Anolis sagrei: one gene and its partners. The protein of the gene in region 2 interacts with the protein of the main gene of each other region in a biochemical or structural test. Links are inferred from orthologs where the notes say so. Each region holds a gene or a part of one and is shown on either strand. Other genes may lie near its edges.

Region 1 (7,459 bases), on a different chromosome or scaffold from region 2:
TTAAGAGAGAGAGAGAGATGGAGCCCCTGACCCAGCCTTGGAGGGACTTCCCACTCAAAATACAAACAGGCAGACCATTATTTTCAATCCTCCCCCCCCCTATACAAACCAAGGAAGGTCCAGAAGCCTCTCTCAATGGGGGAAGAGAGACCCCCTTTTGTGTTCCAAATAGAGGCCCAAAGGGGGTCTTATTTCTCATTGATGCCCAGCCTTGGAGGGTCTTCCCACCTGACATACAAACAGGCCAGCCTTCCTGCGACTTTGTCAATATCTTCATTGCCCCCTTGTAGAAACCAAGAAGAGGCCCAGAAGCCCTTCTCATTGGGGGAAGAAAGACCCCCTTTCCTGCCCCAATGGAGGCCCAAAGGGGGGGGGGTCTTCTTCCCATTGAAACCCAGCCTTGGAGGAGCTTCCCACCCAACATACAAACAGGCAGACCGAGGCCCAGAAGCCCCTCTTAATGGGGAAGAGAGATCCCTTTCCTGTCCTAGTGGAGGCCCAAAGGGGGGGGGGTCTTCCTTCCCATTGAAGCCCATCCCTGGAGGTCTTCCCACCCGAGAAACAAACAGGCAGATCTTCCTGAGACTTTGTCAATACCTTCATTCTCCCTCATTTATACAAACCAAAGAGAGGCCCAGAAACCTCTTTCAATGGGGGAAGAGAGAGAGAGACCCCCTTTCCTGCCCCAATGGAGGCCCAAAGGGGGGGTCTTCCTTCCATTGAAACCCAGCCCTGGAGGGTCTTTCCACCTGACATACAAACAGGCAGGCCTTCCTGTAACATTGTCATTATCTTCATTCCTCCCTTATACAAACCAAAGAGAGGCCTAGAAACCTCTCTCAATGGGGGAAGAGAGAGAGAGGGAGACCCCCTTTCCTGTCCCAAATGGAGGCCCAAAGGGTGTCTTCTTTCCCATTGAAGCCCAGCCCTGGAGGGACTTCCCACCAGACATACAAACAGGCAGACCTTCCTGTCATTATCTTCATTGCCACCTTTATACGAACCAAAGAGAGGCCCAGAAGCCCTTCTCAATGGGGAAAGAGAGAGAGAGACCCCCTTTCCTGCCCCAATAGAGGCCCAAAGGGGGTCTTCTTTCCCATTAGAGAAAGAGAGAGATTGAGTCCCCAACCCAGCCCTGGAGGGATTTCCCACTCGAAATACAAACAGGCAGACCTTCTTCATCCCCCCCCCCTTATACAAACCAACTAAAGGCTCAGAAGCCTCTTTCAGTGGGGGAAGAGAGACCCTTTTCCTGCCCCAATGGAGGCCCAAAGGGGTCTTCTTTTCCATTGAGAGAGAGAGACCAAACCCAGTCATAGGAAGGTTTCCCACCCAAGAAACAAACAGACAGACCTTCCTGTGACTTTGTCAATATCTTCATTGCCCCCTTTATACAAACCAAAGAGAGGCCCAGAAGCCCCTCTCGATGGAAGAAGAGAGACCCCCTTTCCTGCCCAATGGAGGCCCAAAGGGGTCTTCCTCCCCATTAAGAGAGAGAGTTTGAGCCCCCGACCCAGCCTTGGAGGGACTTCCCACTCGAAATACAAACAGTCAGACCATTATTTTCATTCCTCCCCCCCCTTAACAAACCAAGAAAGGCCAGAAGCCTCTCTCAGTGGGGAAGAGAGACCCCCTTTCTGCCCCAAATGGAGGCCCAAAAGGGGGGGTCTTCCCATTGAAGCCCAGCCCTGGAGGGTCTTTCCACCCGACATACAAACAGCAGGCCTTCCTGTGACTTTGTCATTATCTTCATTGCCCCCCTTATACGAACCAAAGAGAGGCCCAGAAGCCCTTCTCAATGGGGGATAGAGAGAGAGAGAGAGACCCCTTTCCTGCCCCAATGGAGGCCCAAAGGGGGGGGGGTCTTCCTTCCCATTGAAACCCAGCCTTGGGGGGGCTTCCCACCTGACATACAAGCAGGCAGACCTTCCTGCGACTTTGTCAATATTATCTTCATTCCCCCCTTGTAGAAACCAAGGAGAAGCCTTAGAAGCCTCTCTCAGTGGGGAGAAGAGAGACCCCCTTTCCTGCCCCAATGGAAGCCCAAAGGGGGTCTTCCTTCCCATTGAAGCTCAGCCCTGGAGGGTCTTCCCACCCAACATACAAACAGGCAGACCTTCCTGCAACATTGTCATTATCTTCATTACCCCCCTTATACGAACCAAAGAGAGGCCTTAGAAGCCCCTCTCAATGGGGGAAGAGAGACCCCCTTTCCTGCCCCAAATGGAGGCCAAAGGGGGGTCTTCCTTCCCATTGAAGCCCAGCCTTGAGAGTCTTTCCACCCGACATACAAACAGGCAGGCCTTCCTGCGACTTTGTCATTATCTTCATTGCCCCCTTTATACGAACCAAAGAGAGGCCCAGAAGCCCCTCTTAATGGGGGGAAGAGAGACCCCCTTTCCTGGCCCAATGGAAGCCCAAAGGGGGGTCTTCCTTCCATTGAAGCTCAGCCCTGGAGGGTCTTCCCACCCCGACATACAACAGGCAGACCTTCCTGCGACTTTGTCATTATCTTCATTGCCCCCCTTATATGTACCAAAGAGAGGCCTTAGAAGCCCTCTCATTGGGGGAAGAAAGACCCCTTTCCTGCCCCAATGGAAGGCCCAAAGGGGGGGGGGTCTTCCTTCCCATTGAGAGACATCGAGAGAGGCCCAAACCCATTCCGACAAATAGGCATCAAGACAGCCCTTGCTGCGTCGCCGACGTCTCTCCCTCTCCCTCCCCCTCCCCTTCTCAACCCAAGCAGAAGCCCCCAACCTTAGAAGCAGACCCTTCCCTCTCCAATGGAGACCCCCCCCCCCTCTCTCCCTCTTTCCTCTTTTCCCGAGGTAGGCCCAAAAGGGGGGGGTGCTTCATTTCCATGTCAGGGTGCGCCTCCCTTCCCCCTCCCTCCTCGCCCACCGTGTCCCCCCCTCCCCCCATCGCCGCCCCCTCCTCACCTGCACCCCGGCGGCGAGAGCGAGTGAAGGTGGAGAGAGAGAACATCTCCGCCCGGTCCGCCATCTTCGCAGAGACAGAGAGAGAGAGAGATGGAGGGATAGATAAATAGAGAAGGGAGAGATGGAGGCGGGGGGGGGGGGGCTGTCTTCCCCTCCTTCTTCACTGGGGCTGGGGGGGCTGCTTCTCCCCCTCTTGGGGCCTTTCTGTCTCTCGAGGGAGGCGCTGAGATCCGCCGCAGCCATGGCGCACCCGCCTCACCCTCCTCCGCCCCAGAAAAACACCGGAGGAAGGAAGGAAAGGAGGAAGAGAGGGAAGGAGAAAGGGAGGAGGAGGAGGGAAAGAGGGGGCAGCCAGGCCCCGCCCTTGGGTGCGGAAGGGGAGGGGGAGGGAGGGAGGGGAGGAGGGGCAGATCACAAGCAAGGGACACCCCCCCCCCGTGAAACAACTACGACGTCACCGCCAGACCCTCCTTTTTGGGGGGTGGGGGGGCGGCCTTGTCTGTGGCCTTCCTCCTCCTCCTCCTCCTCTCCTGCTCAAGGCAGGCAAGCTTGGCGCTGTCCCTCCCGGGAAGGTGCTGAAAGAGGGCGCTGTCCAGTGCTGAAGGGAGGAAGGAAAGAGAAGGATGGAAGGAAGGAAGGAAGAAAAGGGTGGAGGGAAGGAAGGAAGGAAGGCCAGGAGAAAGGAAAGGGGCAGAGAAAGGAAGAAAGGGAGGAAGAGGAAAGGGGAGGGAGAGAAGAAGGAAGAAAGAAGGAGAAAGGGAAAGGAGCAGAGGAAGAATTAGGGAAGAAGGAAGAATGGAGAGAATGGAAGGAGGATGGAAGGAAGGCCAGGAGAAAGGGAAAGGAGCAGAGGAAGAAGGAATAGTAGGAAGGAAGGAAGGAAGGAAGGAAGGAAGAAGGAAGGGGGGAGGGAGGGATGTGGAGGAAGGCAGGAAAAGGTAGGTTGGATGGATGGATGGATAGATGGATGATAGATGGAAGGAAGGCCAGAAGAAAGGAAAGAAGAGGAAAGGGGAAGAAGGAAGGAAGGAAGGAAACAATAGATTGAAGGAAGAAAGGAAAGGAGCAAGGGAAGGAATTAGAAGGAGGAAATAGGAAGGAATAGGGAAGGAGAGAAGAAGGAAAGGAAAGGAAGGAAGGAAGGAGAAAGGGAAAGGGGCAGAGAAAGAACAATGGGGAGGAAAGAGGAAAGGGGAGGGAGAGAGGAGAAGGGAAAGAAGGAAGGAAGGAAGGAAGGAAGGAGAAAGGGAAAGGAGCAGAGGAAGAAAGAATAGGGAGGAAGGAGGAAAGGGGAAGGAGAGAGGAAGGAAGGAAGGAAGGAAGGAAGGAAGGAAGGCCAGAGAAAGGGAAAGGAGCAGAGGAAGAAAGAATAGGGAGGAAGGAGGAAAGGGGGGAGGAGAGAGGAAGGAAGGAAGGAAGGAAGGAAGGAAGGAAGGAGAAAGGAGCAGAGGAAGAAAGAATAGGGAGGAAGGAGGAAAGGTGGGAGGGAGAGAGGAAGGAAGGAAGGAAGGAAGGAAGGAAGGAGAAAGGGCAAGGAGCAGAGGAAGAAAGAATAGAGAGGAAGGAGGAAAGGGGGGAGGGAGAGAGGAAGGAAGGAAAGAAGGAAGGAAGGAGAAAGGGAAAGGAGCAGAGAAGAAAGAATAGGAGGAAGGAGGAAAGGGGGAGGGGAGAGAGGAAGAAGGAAAGAAGGAAGAAGGAAGGAAGGAAGGAAGGAGAAAGGGAAAGGAGCAGAGGAATGAATAGGGAGGAAGGAGGAAAGGGGGGAGGGAGAGAGGAAGGAAGGAAGGAAGGAAGGAAGGAAGGAAGGAAGGAAGGAAGGCCAGGAGAAAGGGAAAGGAGCAGAGAAAGGAAGAATAGGGAGGAAGGAGGAAAGGGAGAGGGAGAGAGAAAGGAAGGAAGAAGGAAGGAAGGAAGGAAGGAAAAGGGAAAGGAGCAGAGGAAGAAAGAATAGGGAGGAAGGAGGAAAGGGGGGAGGGAGAGAGGAAGAGAGGAAGGAAGGGAGGAAGGCCAGGAGAAAGGGAAAGGAGCAGAGGAAGAAAGAATAGGGAGGAAGGAGGAAAGGGGGAGGGAGAGAGGAAGGAAGGAAGGAAGGAAGGAAGGCCAGGAGAAAGGGAAAGGAGCAGAGGAAGAAAGAATAGGGAGGAAGGAGGAAAGGGGGGAGGGAGAGAGGAAGGAAGGAAGGAAGGAAGGAAGGAAGGAAGGAAGGAGAAAGGGAAAGGAGCAGAGGAAGAATTAGGGAGGAAGGAATTGAGAGAATGGAAGGAAGGATGGAAGGAAGGCCAGGAGAAAGGGAAAGGAGCAGAGAAAGAAGGACTAGTAGGAAGGAGAAAGGAAGGGAGGGAGGGAGGGGAGGGAGGGAGGGATGAGGAGGAAGGGAGGAAAAAGTAGGTTGGATGGATGGATGGATAGATGGAAGGAAGGCCAGAAGAAAGGAAAAGGTGCAGAGAAAGAAGGAATAGGGAGGAAGGAGGGAAGGGGGGGAGGGAAGAAGGAAGGAAGGCCAGGAGAAAGAGAAAGGGGCAGAGAAAGAAGGAATAAGGAGGAAAGCAGAAAGGGGAAGAAGGAAGGAAGGAAATAATAGATTGAAGGAAGAAAGGAAAGGAGCAAGGGAAGGAATTAGAAGAAGGAAATAGGAAGGAATAGGGAAGGAGAGAAGAAGGAAAGGGAAGGAAGGAAGGAAGGAAGGAAGGAAGGAAGGAAGGAAGGAAGGAGAAAGGGAAAGGGGCAGAGAAAGAAACAATGGGGAGGAAGGAGGAAAGGGGGAGGAAAGAAGGAAGGAAGGAAGGAAGGAAGGAGAAAGGGAAAGGAGCAGAGAAAGAAAGAATAGGGAGGAAGGAGGAAAGGGGGGGAGGGAGGAAGGAGGGAGGGAGGGAAGGAAGGAAGGAAGGAAGGAAGGAAGGAAGGAAGGAAAAAAGGCCAGGAGAAAGGAAAAGGGGCAGAGAAAGAAGGAATAGGGAGGAAAGGGGAAGAACCTAAGGAAGGAAGAGCCTGATGGAAGGAAGGAAATAATAGATTGAAGGAAGAAAGGAAAGGAGCAAGGGAAGGAATTAGAAGGAGGAAATAGGAAGGAATAGGGAAGGAGAGAAGAAGGAGGAAATAGGAAGGAATAGGGAAGGAGAGAAGAAGGAAAGGAAGGAAGGAAGGAGAAAGGGAAAGGGGCAGAGAAAGAAAGAATAGGAAGGAGGAAAGGGGGAGGGAAGAAGGAAGGAAGGAGGGAAGGAAGGAAGGAAGGAAGGAAGGAAGGAAGGAAGGAGAAAGGGAAAGGAGCAGAGAAAGAAAGAATAGGGAGGAAGGAGGGAAGGGCCTGATGTAAGGAAGGAAATAATAGATTGAAGGGAGGAAGGAGAAAGGGGAGAAAAGGAGGGATGGAAGGAAGGAAGGCCAGGAGAGAGGGAAAGGGGCAGAGAAAGAAAAAATAGGGAGGGAGGAAGGAAGGGGGAGGGAAGAACAAAGGAAGCAAGGAAGGAAGGGAGGGAGGGAGGAATGGGGAGGAAGGGAGGAAAAGGTTGGTTGGATGGATGGATGGATGGAAGGCCAGGAGAAAGGGAAAAGTTCAGAGAAAGAAAGAATAGGAGGGAAGGAGGAGGGAAGAAGGAAGGAAGGAAGGAAGGAAGGAAGGAAGGAAGGAAAGAAAGAAAGAAAGAAGGAACACCTGATGGAAGGAAGGAAATAATGGGTTGAGGGAAGGAAGGAAGGAAGGAAGGAAGGAAGGAGCAAGGAAAGGAATTAGAAGGAAGGAAATATGAAGGAATAGGGAGGGAGGAAAGGAATAGGAAAGAAGAGGGAGGGAGGGAATAATGGATTGAAGGGAGTAAGGAGAAAGGGAAGAAAAGGAGGGATGGAAGGAAGGAATGTCAGGAGAGAGGGGGAAAGAAAGAGGGAAGGAGAAAATTGGGGGGGAGGAAGGAAAGGAGGGAAGAAGGAAGGAGCAAGGGAAGGAACAGGAAGTAAGGCATTGAGAAGGTGGAAGGAAGGAAGGAAGGAAGGAAGGAAGGAAGGAAGGAAGGAAGGAAGGAAGGCCAGAAGAGGGAGGGGTGGTGGAAGGGAAGGAAGAAAGGAAGAAGGAAGGAAGGGCTTAATAGGACGAAGAAAATGACTGGACTGATGGAAGGAAGGAAGGAAGGAAGGAAGGAAGGAAGGAAGGAAGGAAGGAAGGAAGGCAGGCAGGCATAGGAAAGAAGGAAGGAGGGAGGGAGGAAGAAAGAATAGAAAAGAATAGTGAGGGAGGAAAGAATGGACTGAAGGAAGGAAAGGAACGGGAAGGAAGGAGGCAAGTGAGGAAGGAAAGAAAGGAGGAAGGAATAAGAAGGAAGAGGGAGAGAGGGAAGAAAAAGGATGGATAGATGGAAGGCCAGAAGAAAGGGAAGGATTGAGAGAATGAAGGAAGGGATGAAAGAGGCAAGGAAGGAAGCAGAGAAGGGAGGGAGGGCTTAATGAACAGAATGAAGGAACGAGTGGATAGAAGGAAAGAAGCAGGGAAGGAGAGAGGGAGGAAGGAGAAATAGGAAATAATAGGGAGG
Region 2 (6,888 bases):
ACTCAAAAAGAATAGTACAACTTCAAAAGGCGCAGAAAGGGCAATCAAAATAATAAAATAATTAGAGCCATTTCCCTAGGAGAAAAAGTTACAACATTTGGTTTAAGAAAACAAAACCTGGAGAAGTGGTAAGCAGGAAGGCTCCTGATGTGTATGTATACATATAAGCAAAGTGGGCAAAAAGCAGGCAGGCAAAGCTTTTCATCTTCTCATATATTACTAAAACGCTGGATTATTCAAGCAAACCAAACTGTAGGCAATTCAAAACAGACCGGACAAAACATTTATTCACACACCAAATATTTAAATTAGGGAATATGCCACCACAATATGCAGCAATTGCTATAAATGTGAAAATATATAAACAGGAATTAGGTAACGTCATGGAAGATATAGTTATCACTAACCAGTCATTTTGGAGGCTACAAACTACTTCTAGTATCAAAGGAAGTATATATTTCAAGACCAGTTGTTGGAGAATATAAATGTGATAGCAATACTACATTTACATCCTAACTAAGGGCTCCCCATAGAAATGTGGTTGGTCCATTGTAGGAACTACATGCCTAACTTGATGAGCTTCATCCAAGTAGCTCTTCTTATGTTCTTAACTTATTCTACATTTGGCTACTGCATGCGGATCGCAAAAACATCACTGTAGTCCAGAAAAGTCCTCACAACAGAGAGCACCTTGCTCCAAGAGACAATATTAACTAGACTGTTCTTCAAGGACAATGCTGTACCATTGTTTTCAGAACTGAAAACAGGATGCAGGGAAGCAGAGACTCTTTAATTTCAGCCAAGGAAAAAGGCCTATACTGTAGGTATGAGAAATCAGAGGAACACTGTCTGACACTTACACTCAAGACTTTTCTAATTCTTAAGTTAGAATTTAGTTCATTATTCTAAAACATCTGTAAACTTTCATCCATACAAAAATATTAGACAAATATGACAGAATGACTCTGAACTGAACTTCACTTGTAGCTATTTCTGCACACCAAACTTTCAATCCACCCCCAACCCCTCCTTCCAGTGCTGTGATCTGAGGGATCCCAAATCCAGTTCTCCCAAGTAATTTGTTTCACTACACCAGGGTTTCTTAAACTTTTCCCACTTGCAACCTCTTTCTGCCTTTGAAAGTTTTATGCAACCCCGGCTATAAAGGTATATAAAATAGGTATAAAAAAGAAATAAAAATTCACAGATAAAAAATCTGCATTTACAAGGCTAGTTAAACAGTCTGATTTTCCTTTCTTATGAAATGCAGCTGAAGTATTTTCTGTAGAGTCCACTGTAAACACAAATGTTCTTACTAACATTTGTGTAAATGTCTAAAATAACACTGACATCATGAATTAACCTTTTATTGGGTTGCTGTGAGTTTAATGAGCTGTATGGCCATGTTCCAGAAGCATTCTCTCCTGATGTTTCACCCACATCTATGGCAGGCATCCTCAGAGGTTGAGGGGTTTGTTGGAAACTAGGCAAGTGGGTTTTATATATCTGTGGAATGTCCAAGATGGGAGAAAAAACTCTTGTCAGTTGGAGGCAACTGTGAATGTTGCACTTGATCAACTTGAGTAGCATTGAATAACCTTGCAGCTTCCAAGTTTGGCTGCTTCATGCCTGGGGGAATAGTTTGTTAGGAGGTAATTAGCTGGCCCTGATTGTTTTTTGTCTGGAATTCCCGTTTGTGAATGTTGTTCTTTATTAACTGTCCTGATTTTAGAGTTTTTTAATACTGGTAGCCAGATTTTGTTCTTTTTCATGGTTTCCTCCTTTCTGTTGAAATTAAGGTTTTCATTTATTTATTGTATCAGAAGCAGCCCAAGGGTACAGTTGCAATGTATTTAAAAACACAAAGTTAAAAACACACACAAAGCATTATATTAAATGTCCTTTGACAGTAGCTTGTCACTTAGAGTGCCTATTAGAAGGTTCTCCATTGTGCATGTGGGAGGGCTCAGACTGAATTGTAATAGGTGGTCTGTGGTTTGCTCTTCTCCACATTCGCATGTCACGGAATTCACTTTGTGGCCCCATTTAAAGGTGATCAGTTTCAACATTCCCACCTGCCTCAAACAGACCAGAGTTTTTCTCCCAGCCTGGACATTCCACAGATATATAAACCTCAGTTGCAGAATTTCCAACCTCTGAGGATGCCTGCCATAGATGTGGGCGAATCTTCAGGAGAGAATGCTTCTGGAACATGGCCATACAGCCTGGAAAACTCACAGCAACCCAGTGATTCCAGCCATGAAAGCCTTCGACAACACATTGACCTTTTATTGTTGCTAAATGTTGTGATCCCAACACTGAACTAAGGGGACCCCCACATCTTTAAAGAAAAAGTATTTCTGATTGCCATCATCCACAACTCCTGCCCCATCACAAAACACATTGGTTCAAGATAATCTCTTTATCTGTATCTGTATACTTTCTGTGGCCCACCCCTTTTGCTCCTGACACTTTCCTTCCTTCCTTCCTTCCTTCCTTCCTTCCTTCCTTCCTTCCTTCCTTCCCCCTGAACCGGTCGCCTTGAAAGATAAGGGCCAGTCCAGGCATGTGGCTCCCCCGCCGCACGCCGGCCTTGTCTGCTATGAGAGTCTCCCTCGCCACGAAGATCTCCCCCCACACACACGCCTTGCTCTCTTTCTTTCCCCGGCCCCACTTCTCCCCTCAGTCCTCCTGCCCCGCCAGCCCAGTCCGAGCCCCTGCTTAAGCGAGGCCAGGCCTCCCCTCGGCTCAGGCGCCCTCCTCCGCGCCGCCCGTCCCACCCGACACTGGGCCCTTCCGCGGAAGCGCTCCCCCCTCAGGCCCTCCCTTACTAGGCCGAGCCCGGGCCGGACTGATCTCCAAGTTGAGGTCGATGCGCCTCCGGGCCTCCCTGTTCTCCTGCTTCAGCTTGGCTTCCAGGCGGGACAGTTTCTGCTCCAGCGAGGACGCCGCCATCTTCCCCCTCCCCCTCCCCCGGAGCCGACGCCGCCACCGCGCAGCCAGAATACACAAACACCGCACTGCGCAGGCGCCACATGAACCAACCCGGCCGCCGTACTCCTCCCCCCGCCCTCCTCCTCCTTCGCAAACCAGGCTGGGCTCCGGCTTTGCCCGGCGCTTGTTTTGCCTGGCAGTCTCCTCTCTTGCGCATGCGCCGGGCTCGAACGTCTACTTCGGTCTACGGGACGTGTTGGAGATCTGCCGCGCATGCGCTTCCCCCACTTTCTCAGGGACAGGAGCAGCACGTCTGGAAGTCGCAGAGAAGTTAGCTTTTCTTTCAGACACTGGGTACATCTGCACTGGAGAAGTAATGCAGTTTGATACCACTTGTATGCATCCTTTATTTCTGTATTTTATTGTTTTTGCCAGGGGGTATAGTGAATGTATGATGTTGTGTTGACTGTTTATTGTTTATGTTTTATTTTGCACTTGTTGTATTTTGCATGTCACACTTTGAGTGACATGTGTGAGCCGCCCCGAGTCCCTCTGGGAGATGGTGGCGGGATATAAATAAAAGTGTATTATTATTTTACTGACACAGTGTGTCACAGCAAACGAGATATATATGCTGGATTTCGTATCACAAAATCACAAATCGAAACACTTGTTTATTATTATTATTATTTTTAAATAACATTAAATGTTGAATATAAAGAATATTAAGTGATATTAATTTTTATTATTATTTGAAATGCAACAAGATGAGTCCATAGCAGACACTCTGCTGGCTGTTGTATTGGATCATACGTCGGACATTTCCCAAGTGTCTAGGTCTGTGTGATGTATCCGCATATAATGCATGCAGATCCCAGTAAGGTGGCCTTCTGCAGCTAGCAGATGGTAATTTTCTCAGCACCGATTGTGTTTAAGTGCAGACCAAGGTCTTTAGGCACTGCACCCAGTGTGCCGATCACCACTGGGACCACCTTGACTGGCTTGTGCCAGAGTTTATTATTATTATTTTGTGATTTGATGAAGCACCAGCAGTCTTTGTAAAACTACAATCCCCAAGATTCTGGGAAAACATAGGATTGCAGGAGCTTGGAGCAGAAGTGGGATCATCTTGGCTGATTCTAGCAAACCTTTTTGGCGGGAGAGGCAACACAGTGCTGTCTCTGATGCCCAAGTAGAGAAGGACTCCCTGGAGGCTTTGTGGCCAAAATGGTGATGCAGAAAGCAGTGTATCCGCTTGAGAGTCTCAACCTTTGCCTATGTATTTTTGAAACCAAATTAATGTTGCGTGTCAACTGGAAATTAAAACCAGAAAGTCAGAATGGAATATCCTTGGTATGTGTCTCTCTTGCCTGTAATCCTGAAAAATAGCATATCTGCAGTTCCAGTTCTGTACACATTTCCTCCAGATCCCACTTGATGAATCAAATAGGAAGGCAAGAAATAAAAATGAGGAACAAACAACTTGGTACCATTTTTGACTTCATAATAAAGTGTCACTGGGGATCACAGTCTGTGGCATTTGAGAAGCTGCTTTATATGCTGTCATTGTGAGATACATCAGATACCAATAGATGCCTCAGTACATATTTTTTGTAACACAATGATTAAAGAGACCCAGTTTGAAAGCTCAGAGAACTAGGTCTTTGTTAGTTGCTTTGAATCTCTGTCTCACATTTTTAAAAGGGGAAGACTGGACTTCTAATAGAAAAGGCATGTTAAGAAATAATGCACCATCCAAGAAAAAGAATTGCCACCAAGCTGTAGTTACAGTCTCTTGGGAGCTGGTGACATCAGGGATCACAAAATTGTTAATATCATTAGTATTATGATGTTTATTTATATCCCACTTTTTCTCTCCATAAGGATACTCAAAGCATCTAGCATTAAAAGCATTACAATATAATTTAAAATTTAAAAATATTAAAACAGTATTAAACATCATCAGTATTAAAAACAATTCAGATTTAAACCATAAGAATATATAAAACCACAGCACCCCCCGAAATGATCTTAAAGGCCTTCTTCTTTAAAAGCCTGCCTGAAGAAGAAGGTTTTAGCCTGCCGCCAGAAGGACAGCAGGGAGGGAGCCAATCTGCCTTTGCTGGGTAGAAGGGAGTTCCAGAGTCGTGGGGCAGCCACCGAGAAGGAAGACCCGCTCTCTTGTCCCCACAAACCAAGCTTGGAGTGGAGGTGGGACTGAGAGAAGGGCCTTCCTGAAGATCGCAGGACTCAGACAGCTTTGTACAAAGGCACGCAGTCAGCCAAATAGCCTGGACCTGAACCATCTAAGGTAGGCATGGGCAAACTTGGGCCCTCCAGGTGTTTTGGACATCAACTCCCACAATTCGTAACAGCCAGTAGGCTGTTACAAAATGTGGGAGTTGGAGTCCAAAATGCCTCGAGGGCCCAAGTTTGCCCATGCCTGATCTAGGTCATAACCAGCACTTTGAATTGTGCCTGGAAATAGACAGGCAGCCAGTGGAGTCTGGTGACATCTGAAAATACTATACTATGTTATGCTAAGGTACAACAGTAACATTGAGCTCCTATGTATTAACAGTACTTTTAGTGGCAATAGACTTTCCCATTAGTAAAACCGACTTTTTTATATTCCTGTAAAATTTTCCTTGTGTTTTTTTTCCCAAATTGGGTACATTGTGGGAAGTTAATATCATGTAAGAAGCTATATCTTACTTTACACCACACTACTAGTCCATTAGTAAGCTTCCTCTTTTCCAATTGCCTTAATAATTGCTAGGCTGCTGCAGTGTTTTAGTGACATTTCTTCGTATGATCTGAATGTTTTTCCCACTTAGGTCCTTCAGTGACACAAGTCTCATATATCTTTTGCTCGCCTATTGTGTCTTAAGAATTTATGGAAACATAACATTACCAAAAATTGCCCTGACTGGAAGAAAAAGAAAACTTAAAACCAGACAGATGTGGATCATCTTGTCTCTTTGACTCTTTTCAAAAGAGTTGAGTTGTTCTGGTGTGTTGTCCTTTATGATATTGGAAATGATGGGTTTGGTGGAAAGTTTAGAGTCCTTATTCAGTAGCCTGGAAAATGTTACTTTTTGGACAGCGAGTCCCCAAATCCCCTTGCAGTGGATTTACTAAAGAGTTACTTCTTTAGACAGCAAGTCCCCAACCGCTTCTGCCAGACACTTGTGGGTGTGGGGAGATTCTGGGGGGTGTCCCATAAAAGAACTTTACCAAGCTTTGATTTGGGAAGCGTTTGTGTGTTGGTAAGTAAGGTAAGAAAATTATGTCCTCTCCAGCCTCCAATACCCAAATCATGGTCAAGATCAGCATCTGAAGGGCAGCTCCCACTCATTGCTGAAAGGAAGATGGCAAAGCGCCATGAGTATAGTTGGTCACACTGGTCAGCCATGTGCAGCAGGAAAGCAAAATCATTGTATACCTCTGGGATGTCAATTAAGTGGCTGCCTTCTTGCATTTGCTTAAAAGAATACTTGAGCAGCGGTTGTCGTACCAGCCATAAGAGGGGGTACATCCCAACAAGCCCATAGAGGAACACCAAGAATAAATAAGTAGCCATCAGTTTCTGCAAAATGGAAGCCAAACTATGGGTACAAAGAAAGGTAGAGTAGCCAATGAGGTTATCTGTGTCTAACCAGCAAATGTGTTTAAAGGCAATGGATCCTACATAACTGTAGGTGTAGCCTAGCACAGTTAGGACCTTTGCAACTTTGAAGATGGTTTGTCCAGTGTAGATTGTGTAAATCAAGCTGGCGCTCTCAGTGTGTGCCCTGAATCTGCAGATCTTCTCAAAGAGTGCCCAGCCTTGCTCTTTGTCCTTCCATTCTAGAATAGGAGAAGAGGAAGGTGATATCAGTTGGTTTTGGCACCCTCCTGCACCAGGGGTCTTGGGTCGGCCTATGACATGCTGGCAGGCCATCTCGGAGAGAG
Region 3 (7,729 bases), on a different chromosome or scaffold from region 2:
TATTTAATGTAAGCTGCTTTGAGTATCCTTTGGGAGAGATAAAGTGGGGTATAAATATATTATTATTATTATTATTATTATTTAATGTAAGCTGCTTTGAGTATCCTTTGGGAGAGATAAAGTGGGGTATAAATATATTATTATTATTACTATTAATATTATTTAATGTAAGCTGCTTTGAGTCTCCTTTGGGAGAGATAAAGTGGGGTATAAATATATTATTATTATTATTATTATTATTTAATGTAAGCTGCTTTGAGTATCCTTTGGGAGAGATAAAGTGGGGTATAAATATATTATTATTATTATTATTATTATTATTATTATTATTATTTAATGTAAGCTGCTTTGAGTATCCTTTGGGAGAGATAAAGTGGGGTATAAATTTATTATTATTATTATTATTATTATTATTATTATATGTATGCTGCTGTGAGTCTCCTTTGGAAGAGATAAAGTGGGGTATAAATTTATCATTATTATTATTATTATTATTATTATTATTATTATTATTATTATTGAATTGTCGAAAGCTTTCATGGCCAGAATCACTGGGTTGTTGTAGGTTTTTTCGGGCTATATGGCCATTTTCTAGAGGCATTTTCTCCTACCTCACTACCTCTGAGGATGCTTGCCATAGATGCAGGCGAAACGTCAGGAGAAAATGCCTCTAGAACATGGTCATATAGCTCAAAAAAACCTACAACAACCCAATTATTATTGTTATTACTATTATTATTATTATTATTATTACTGTAAGCCACTGAGTATCCTTTGGGAGAGATAAAGTGGGGTATAAATATTATTATTATTATTATTATTATTATTACTATTATTTAATGTAAGCCGCTTTGAGTATCCTTTGGGAGAGATAAAGTGGGGTATAAATAAATATAATAATATAATTGAATAATAATAATAATAATTTAATGTAATAATTTTTATTATTACTATTATTTAATGTAAGCAGCTTTGAGTCTCCTTTGACAAAGTGGGATATAAGTAAATATAATAATATAAATAGATGATGATGATGATGATGATGATTTAATGGAAGTCTCCTTTGACTCAAATAATAATAATACTTTAATGTAAGCTGCTTTGAGTCTCTTTTGGGAGAGATTGAGCAGGGTATAAATAAATAAATACATATAATAATAATAATGATAACAATTTAATGTAAGTCGCTTTGAGTCTTCTTTGCAAGAGTTAAAGTGGGGTATAAATATAATAATAATAATAACACAATATAATCATAAAGTAGGAAGGGACCTCCAAAGGCCATCCAGACCAACCCAGTTCTGCTGTCCTGATAGCCATCCTGTTGCATCCAAAATAATAATAATAACAACAACAACAACAACAACAACAACAAATAATCATAAAGTTGGAAGGGACCCGCAAAGGCCATCCAGACCAACCCAGTTCTGCCATCCTAATAGCCAATCTGCTTCATCCAAAGTATAATAACAACAACAACAACAACAACAACAACACAAAATAATAATAAAGTTGAAAGGGACCTCCAAAGGCCATCCAGACCAACCCATGATGTATTGTCGAAGGCTTTCACGGCTGGAATCACTGGGTTGTTGTAGGTTTTTCGGGCTGTCTGGCCATGTTCTAGAAGCATTCTCTCCTGACGTTTCACCTGCATCTATGGCAGGCATCCCCAGAGGTTGTCAGGACCTCACAACCTCTGAGGATGCCTGCCACAGAGGCAGGCGAAACGTCAGGAGAGAATGCTTCTAGAACATGGACATACTGCCAAAAAAACTTACAACTCAATAATCATAGAATCCTAGAGTTGGAAGATACCTCCTGGGCCATCCAGTCCAACCCCATTCTACCAAGAAGCAGGAATATTGCATTCAAATCACCCCTGACAGATGGCCATCCAGCCTCTGTTTAAAAGCTTCCAAAGAAGGAGCCTCCACCTCACTCCGGGGCAGAGAGTTCCACTGCTGAACAGCTCTCACAGTCAGGAAGTTCTTCCTCATGTTCAGATGGAATCTCCTCTCTTGTAGTTTATAATAATAATAATAATAATAATTTGTTATGTAGCTAGCTTCAAACTGCATTAAATGGCCAGTGTAGAATCCTAGAGACGGGAGAGTCATCTGGTCCAGAAAGACACAATCAAAGCATTCCCAACAGATGGCCATCCAGCCACAAAGACTCATGCCAGAATACCACTTACCGTTGTTGGACTTGAGGTCGCGGTGGATGACGGGCACGATGGCCCCGCAATGGAGGTACTGCATCCCCTGGGCGACCTGGACGGCCCAGTTGATGAGGATGTGTGGGGGGATCCTGCGGCCGGCCAGCATCCGGTTCAGCGGACCCCCGGCCGCGTACTCCATCACGAGGCACAGGTTCGGCTCCTGGAGGCAGACGGCTTTGAGGGCGATGATGTTGCGGTGCTGCAGCATGGCGAAGAGCCTCGCCTCTTGCTGCACCCGCTCGGCCGTGGTGCCGATGTCCTCGTCCGGGTCCTGGCGGGCCGCCTTGACCGCCACCAGCTCCCCGCACCATGTGCCCCGATAGACCTTGCCGAAGCCCCCGACCCCGATGACCTCCTCCAGCCTCAGGTCGCGGAAGTCGGCCTCGGGCGGCCCCTCGGGCCCCACGTAGCCCCCTGTCTTGGGCGAGACGTAGTTGGAAGGGAAGATGCCCACTTTGTCGTTGACCTTGCCGGCCCACCAGCCCTCGTCTCCCGAGATGGCCGCATCCCACGACAGCACCTCCACCAGGTCGCCTTTCCGCAAGGTCAGCTCGTCGCTGCTGGCCGCTTCGTAGTCAAAGAGTGCCGTCCAGACCGGGTTTGCGTAGGCTACGGGACCGCCGCTACGGAGGCTGGAGCCCCAGGTGGCCGGAGTCGCCTTCCGGAACATGTTCTTCAAGGGCTCCATGGCGTTGCCGGAACCTCATCTCATGCCCACAACTAGGTCGCCAACATCACCTTAGGCGGGACATCTTCCCTCTCGCGATGTGGGGTCATTGGCAGACCTGAAATGGGGACAAATGTTATGCCTTATTTACGACATTTATAGGCACAGCACAATATTAGTACCATACATTCCAATACTGTACTATACCACTATACTATAATAATATTAGTAGTAATAATACATGTAATATAAATATTAGTACCATATATTCCAATATTGTACTATTCCACTATACTATAATATTATTAATAATAATACATGTAATATAAATATTAGTACCATACATTCCAATATTGTACTATACCACTATACTATAATATTATTAATAATAATAATACATGTAATATAAATATTGGTACCATACATTCCAATATTGTACTATTCCACTATACTATAATATTATAATACATGTAATATAAATATTAGTACCATACATTCCAATATTGTACTATATCACTATAATATAATAATATTATTAGTAATAATACATGTAATATAAACTTTAGTACCATACATTCCAACATTGTACTATACCACTATAACATAATATTATTAGTAATAATAATACATGTAATATAAATATTACTACCATACATTCCAATATTGTACTATACCACTATAATATAATATTATTAGTAATAATACATGTAATATAAATACTAGTACCATACATTCCATAACACTACACTAGAATATTATTAGTAATAATCCATGTAATATAAATATTAGTACCATATATTCCAATATTGTACTATTCCACTATACTATAATATTATTAGTAATAATACATGTAATATAAATACTAGTACCATACATTCCATAACACTACACTAGAATATTATTAGTAATAATGAATGTAATATAAATATTAGTACCATATATTCCAATATTGTACTATACCACTATAATATAATATTATTAGTAATAATACATGTAATATAAATACTAGTACCATACATTCCATAACACTACACTAGAATATTATTAGTAATAATGAATGTAATATAAATATTAGTACCATACATTCCAATATTGTACTATTCCACTATACTATAATATTATTAGCAATAATACATGTAATATAAATATTAGTGCCGTACATTCCAATATTGTGCTACACCACTATACTAGAATATTATTAGTAATAATACATGTAATATAAATACTAGTACCATACATTCCAATATTGTACTACACCACTATACTATAATATGATATGTAATATAAATATTAGTACCATACATTCCAATATTGTACTATACCACTATACTGTAATAATATTATTAGTAATAATACATGCAATATAAATACTAGTACCATACATTCCATACCACTACACTAGATATTATTAGTAATAATACATGTAATATAAATATTAATACCATACATTCCAATATTGTACTATACCACTATACTGTAATAATATTATTAGTAATAATACATGTAATATAAATATTAGTACATGTAATATAAATATTAGTACCATACATTCCAATATTGTACTATTCCACTATACTATAATATTATTAGCAATAATACATGTAATATAAATATTAGTACATGTAATATAAATATTAGTGCCGTACATTCCAATATTGTACTACACCACTATACTAGAATATTCTTAGTAATAATACATGTAATATAAATATTAGTACCATACATTCCAATATTGTACTATTCCACTATACTATAGTATTATTAATAATAATACATGTAATATAAATATTAGTACCATACATTCCAATATTGTACTATACCACTATACTAGAATATTATTAGTAATAGTACATTTAATATAAATATTAGTACCATACATTCCAATATTGTACTATTCCACTATACTATAGTATTATTAATAATAATACATGTAATATAAATATTAGCACCATACATTCCAATATTGTACTATACCACTATACTATAATATTATTAATAATAATACATGTAATATAAATATTAGTACCATACATTCCAATATTGTACTATACCACTATACTAGAATATTCTTAGTAATAATACATGTAATATAAATATTAGTACCATACATTCCAATATTGTACTATTCCACTATATTATAATATTATTAGCAATAATACATGTAATATAAATATTAGTACATGTAATATAAATATTAGTGCCGTACATTCCAATATTGTACTACACCACTATACTATAATAATAATATTAGTAATAATACATGTAATATAAATATTAGTACCATACATTCCAATATTGTACTATTCCACTATACTATAATAATATTATTAGTAATAATACATGTAATATAAATATTGGTACCATACATTCCAATATTGTACTATACCACTATACTAGAATATTATTAGTAATAATACATGTAATATAAATACTAGTACCATACATTCCAATATTGTACTATACCACTATACTAGAATATTATTAGTAATAATACATGTAATATAAATATTAGAACCATACATTCCAATATTGTACTATACCACTGTACTAGAATATTATTAGTAATAATACATGTAATATAAATACTAGTACCATACATTCCAATATTGTACTATTCCACTATACTATAATAATATTATTAGTAATAATACATGTAATATAAATACTAGTACCATACATTCCAATATTGTACTATACCACTATACTAGAATATTATTAGTAATAATACATGCAATATAAATACTAGTACCATACATTCCATACCACTACACTAGATATTATTAGTAATAATACATGTAATATAAATATTAATACCATACATTCCAATATTGTACTATACCACTATACTGTAATAATATTATTAGTAATAATACATGTAATATAAATATTAGTACATGTAATATAAATATTAGTGCCGTACATTCCAATATTGTACTACACCACTATACTAGAATATTATTAGTAATAATACATGTAATATAAATATTAGTGCCGTACATTCCAATATTGTACTACACCACTATAATATAATATTATTAGTAATAATACATGTAATATAAATATTAGTACCATACATTCCAATATTGTACTATACCACTATACTATAATATTATTAGTAATAATACATGTAATATAAATACTAGTACCATAGATTCCATACCACTACACTAGAATATGATTAGTAATAATACATGTAATATAAATATTAATACCATACATTCCAATATTGTACTATACCACTATACTATAATATTATTAATAATAATACATGTAATATAAATATTAGTACCATACATTCCAATATTGTACTATACCACCATACTATAATATTATTAGTAATAATACATGTAATATAAACTTTAGTACCATACATTCCAACATTGTACTATACCACTATAACATAATATTATTAGTTATAATAATACATGTAATATAAATATTACTACCATACATTCCAATATTGTACTACACCACTATACTAGAATATTATTAGTAATAATACATGTAATATAAATACTAGTACCATAGATTCCATACCACTACACTAGAATATGATTAGTAATAATACATGTAATATAAATATTAATACCATACATTCCAATATTGTACTATACCACTATACTATAATAATATTATTAATAATAATACATGTAATATAAATATTAGTACCATACATTCCAATATTGTACTATACCACCATACTATAATATTATTAGTAATAATACAGGTAATATAAAATCTATATTTATTATATTGTATTATTAGTAGTATTATATTGTATTGGATTACAACATTATTATCAATATAATATGTGTAAAATGAAGTATAAATAAATCTAATAATAGTAAGAATAATAATATCATGTAAGCCACTTTGAGTCTCCTTTGGGAGAGATAAAGTGAGGTATATATAAACATAATAATAATAATAATAATAATAATAATACGAATAATAAGAATAAGCCGCTCTGAGTCTCTTCTGGATGAGATAAAATGGTATATAAAATGGTATACAAATAAATCTAATAATAACAATAACAATAATAATATCATGTAAGCCACTTTGAGTCTCCTTTGGGAGAGATAAAGTGAGGTATATATAAACATAATAATAATAATAATAATAATAATAATAATAATAATAATAATACGAATAAGCCGCTTTGAGTCTCTTCCGGATGAGATAAAATGGTATATAAAATGGTATATAAATAAATCTAATAATAATAATAATAATAATAATAATAATAATATCATGTAAGCCACTTTGAGTCTCCTTTGGGAGAGATTAAGTGAGGTATATATAAACATCATAATAATAATAATAATAATAATAATAATAATAATAATACAAATAAGAATAAGCTGCTTTGAGTCTCTTCCGGATGAGATAAAATGCTACATATAAATAAATCTAATAATAATAATAATTTCATGTAAGCCGCTTTGAGTCTTCTTTGGGAGAAATAATAATAGTAATAATAATAATAATAATACAAATAAAAATACAAATACGAATAGGAATAAGCCGCTTTGAGTCTCTTCTGGATGAGATAAATGGTATATAAATACATCTAATAATAATAATAATAATAATAATAATAATTTCATGTAAACTGCTTTGAGTCGTCTTTGGGAGAGATAATAATAATAGTAATAATATGTTAATAATATGTTAATAATAGTAATAATAACATATTAATAATAATATAGTAATAACAATATAAGTGATAACATAGTTAATAATAATATCCTTCGGGAGAGATAAAGCGGGGTATATATAAACATAATAATAATAATAATAATAATAGAAATAGGAATAAGCCGCTTTGAGTCTCT

Evidence for each region. The genes of interacting proteins can lie anywhere in the genome.
Region 1: the proteins of MAP2K7 (region 2) and MAPK8IP2 form a complex in vitro, tested with the Homo sapiens proteins (2 studies listed by BioGRID). The link is inferred for Anolis sagrei from reciprocal best matches to the Homo sapiens genes MAP2K7 and MAPK8IP2.
Region 3: of the proteins of MAP2K7 (region 2) and MAP3K11, one has a biochemical effect on the other in vitro, tested with the Homo sapiens proteins (2 studies listed by BioGRID). The link is inferred for Anolis sagrei from reciprocal best matches to the Homo sapiens genes MAP2K7 and MAP3K11.

The regions. Positions count from the first base shown.
Region 1 is NC_090025.1:199,415,059-199,422,517, forward strand, and holds the start of MAPK8IP2 (C-Jun-amino-terminal kinase-interacting protein 2), read right to left. Parts: upstream 3,004-7,459; coding exon 2,940-3,003; intron 1-2,939. UniProt on the Homo sapiens protein: The JNK-interacting protein (JIP) group of scaffold proteins selectively mediates JNK signaling by aggregating specific components of the MAPK cascade to form a functional JNK signaling module.
Region 2 is NC_090022.1:112,614,079-112,620,966, forward strand, and holds the start of MAP2K7 (dual specificity mitogen-activated protein kinase kinase 7), read right to left. Parts: upstream 3,012-6,888; 5' UTR 2,956-3,011; coding exon 2,832-2,955; intron 1-2,831. Other genes in the region: volume-regulated anion channel subunit LRRC8D-like, read right to left, coding at 6,080-6,888. UniProt on the Homo sapiens protein: Dual specificity protein kinase which acts as an essential component of the MAP kinase signal transduction pathway. Essential component of the stress-activated protein kinase/c-Jun N-terminal kinase (SAP/JNK) signaling pathway.
Region 3 is NC_090032.1:20,098,325-20,106,053, reverse strand, and holds the start of MAP3K11 (mitogen-activated protein kinase kinase kinase 11), read right to left. Parts: upstream 3,004-7,729; 5' UTR 2,913-3,003; coding exon 2,201-2,912; intron 1-2,200. UniProt on the Homo sapiens protein: Activates the JUN N-terminal pathway. Required for serum-stimulated cell proliferation and for mitogen and cytokine activation of MAPK14 (p38), MAPK3 (ERK) and MAPK8 (JNK1) through phosphorylation and activation of MAP2K4/MKK4 and MAP2K7/MKK7.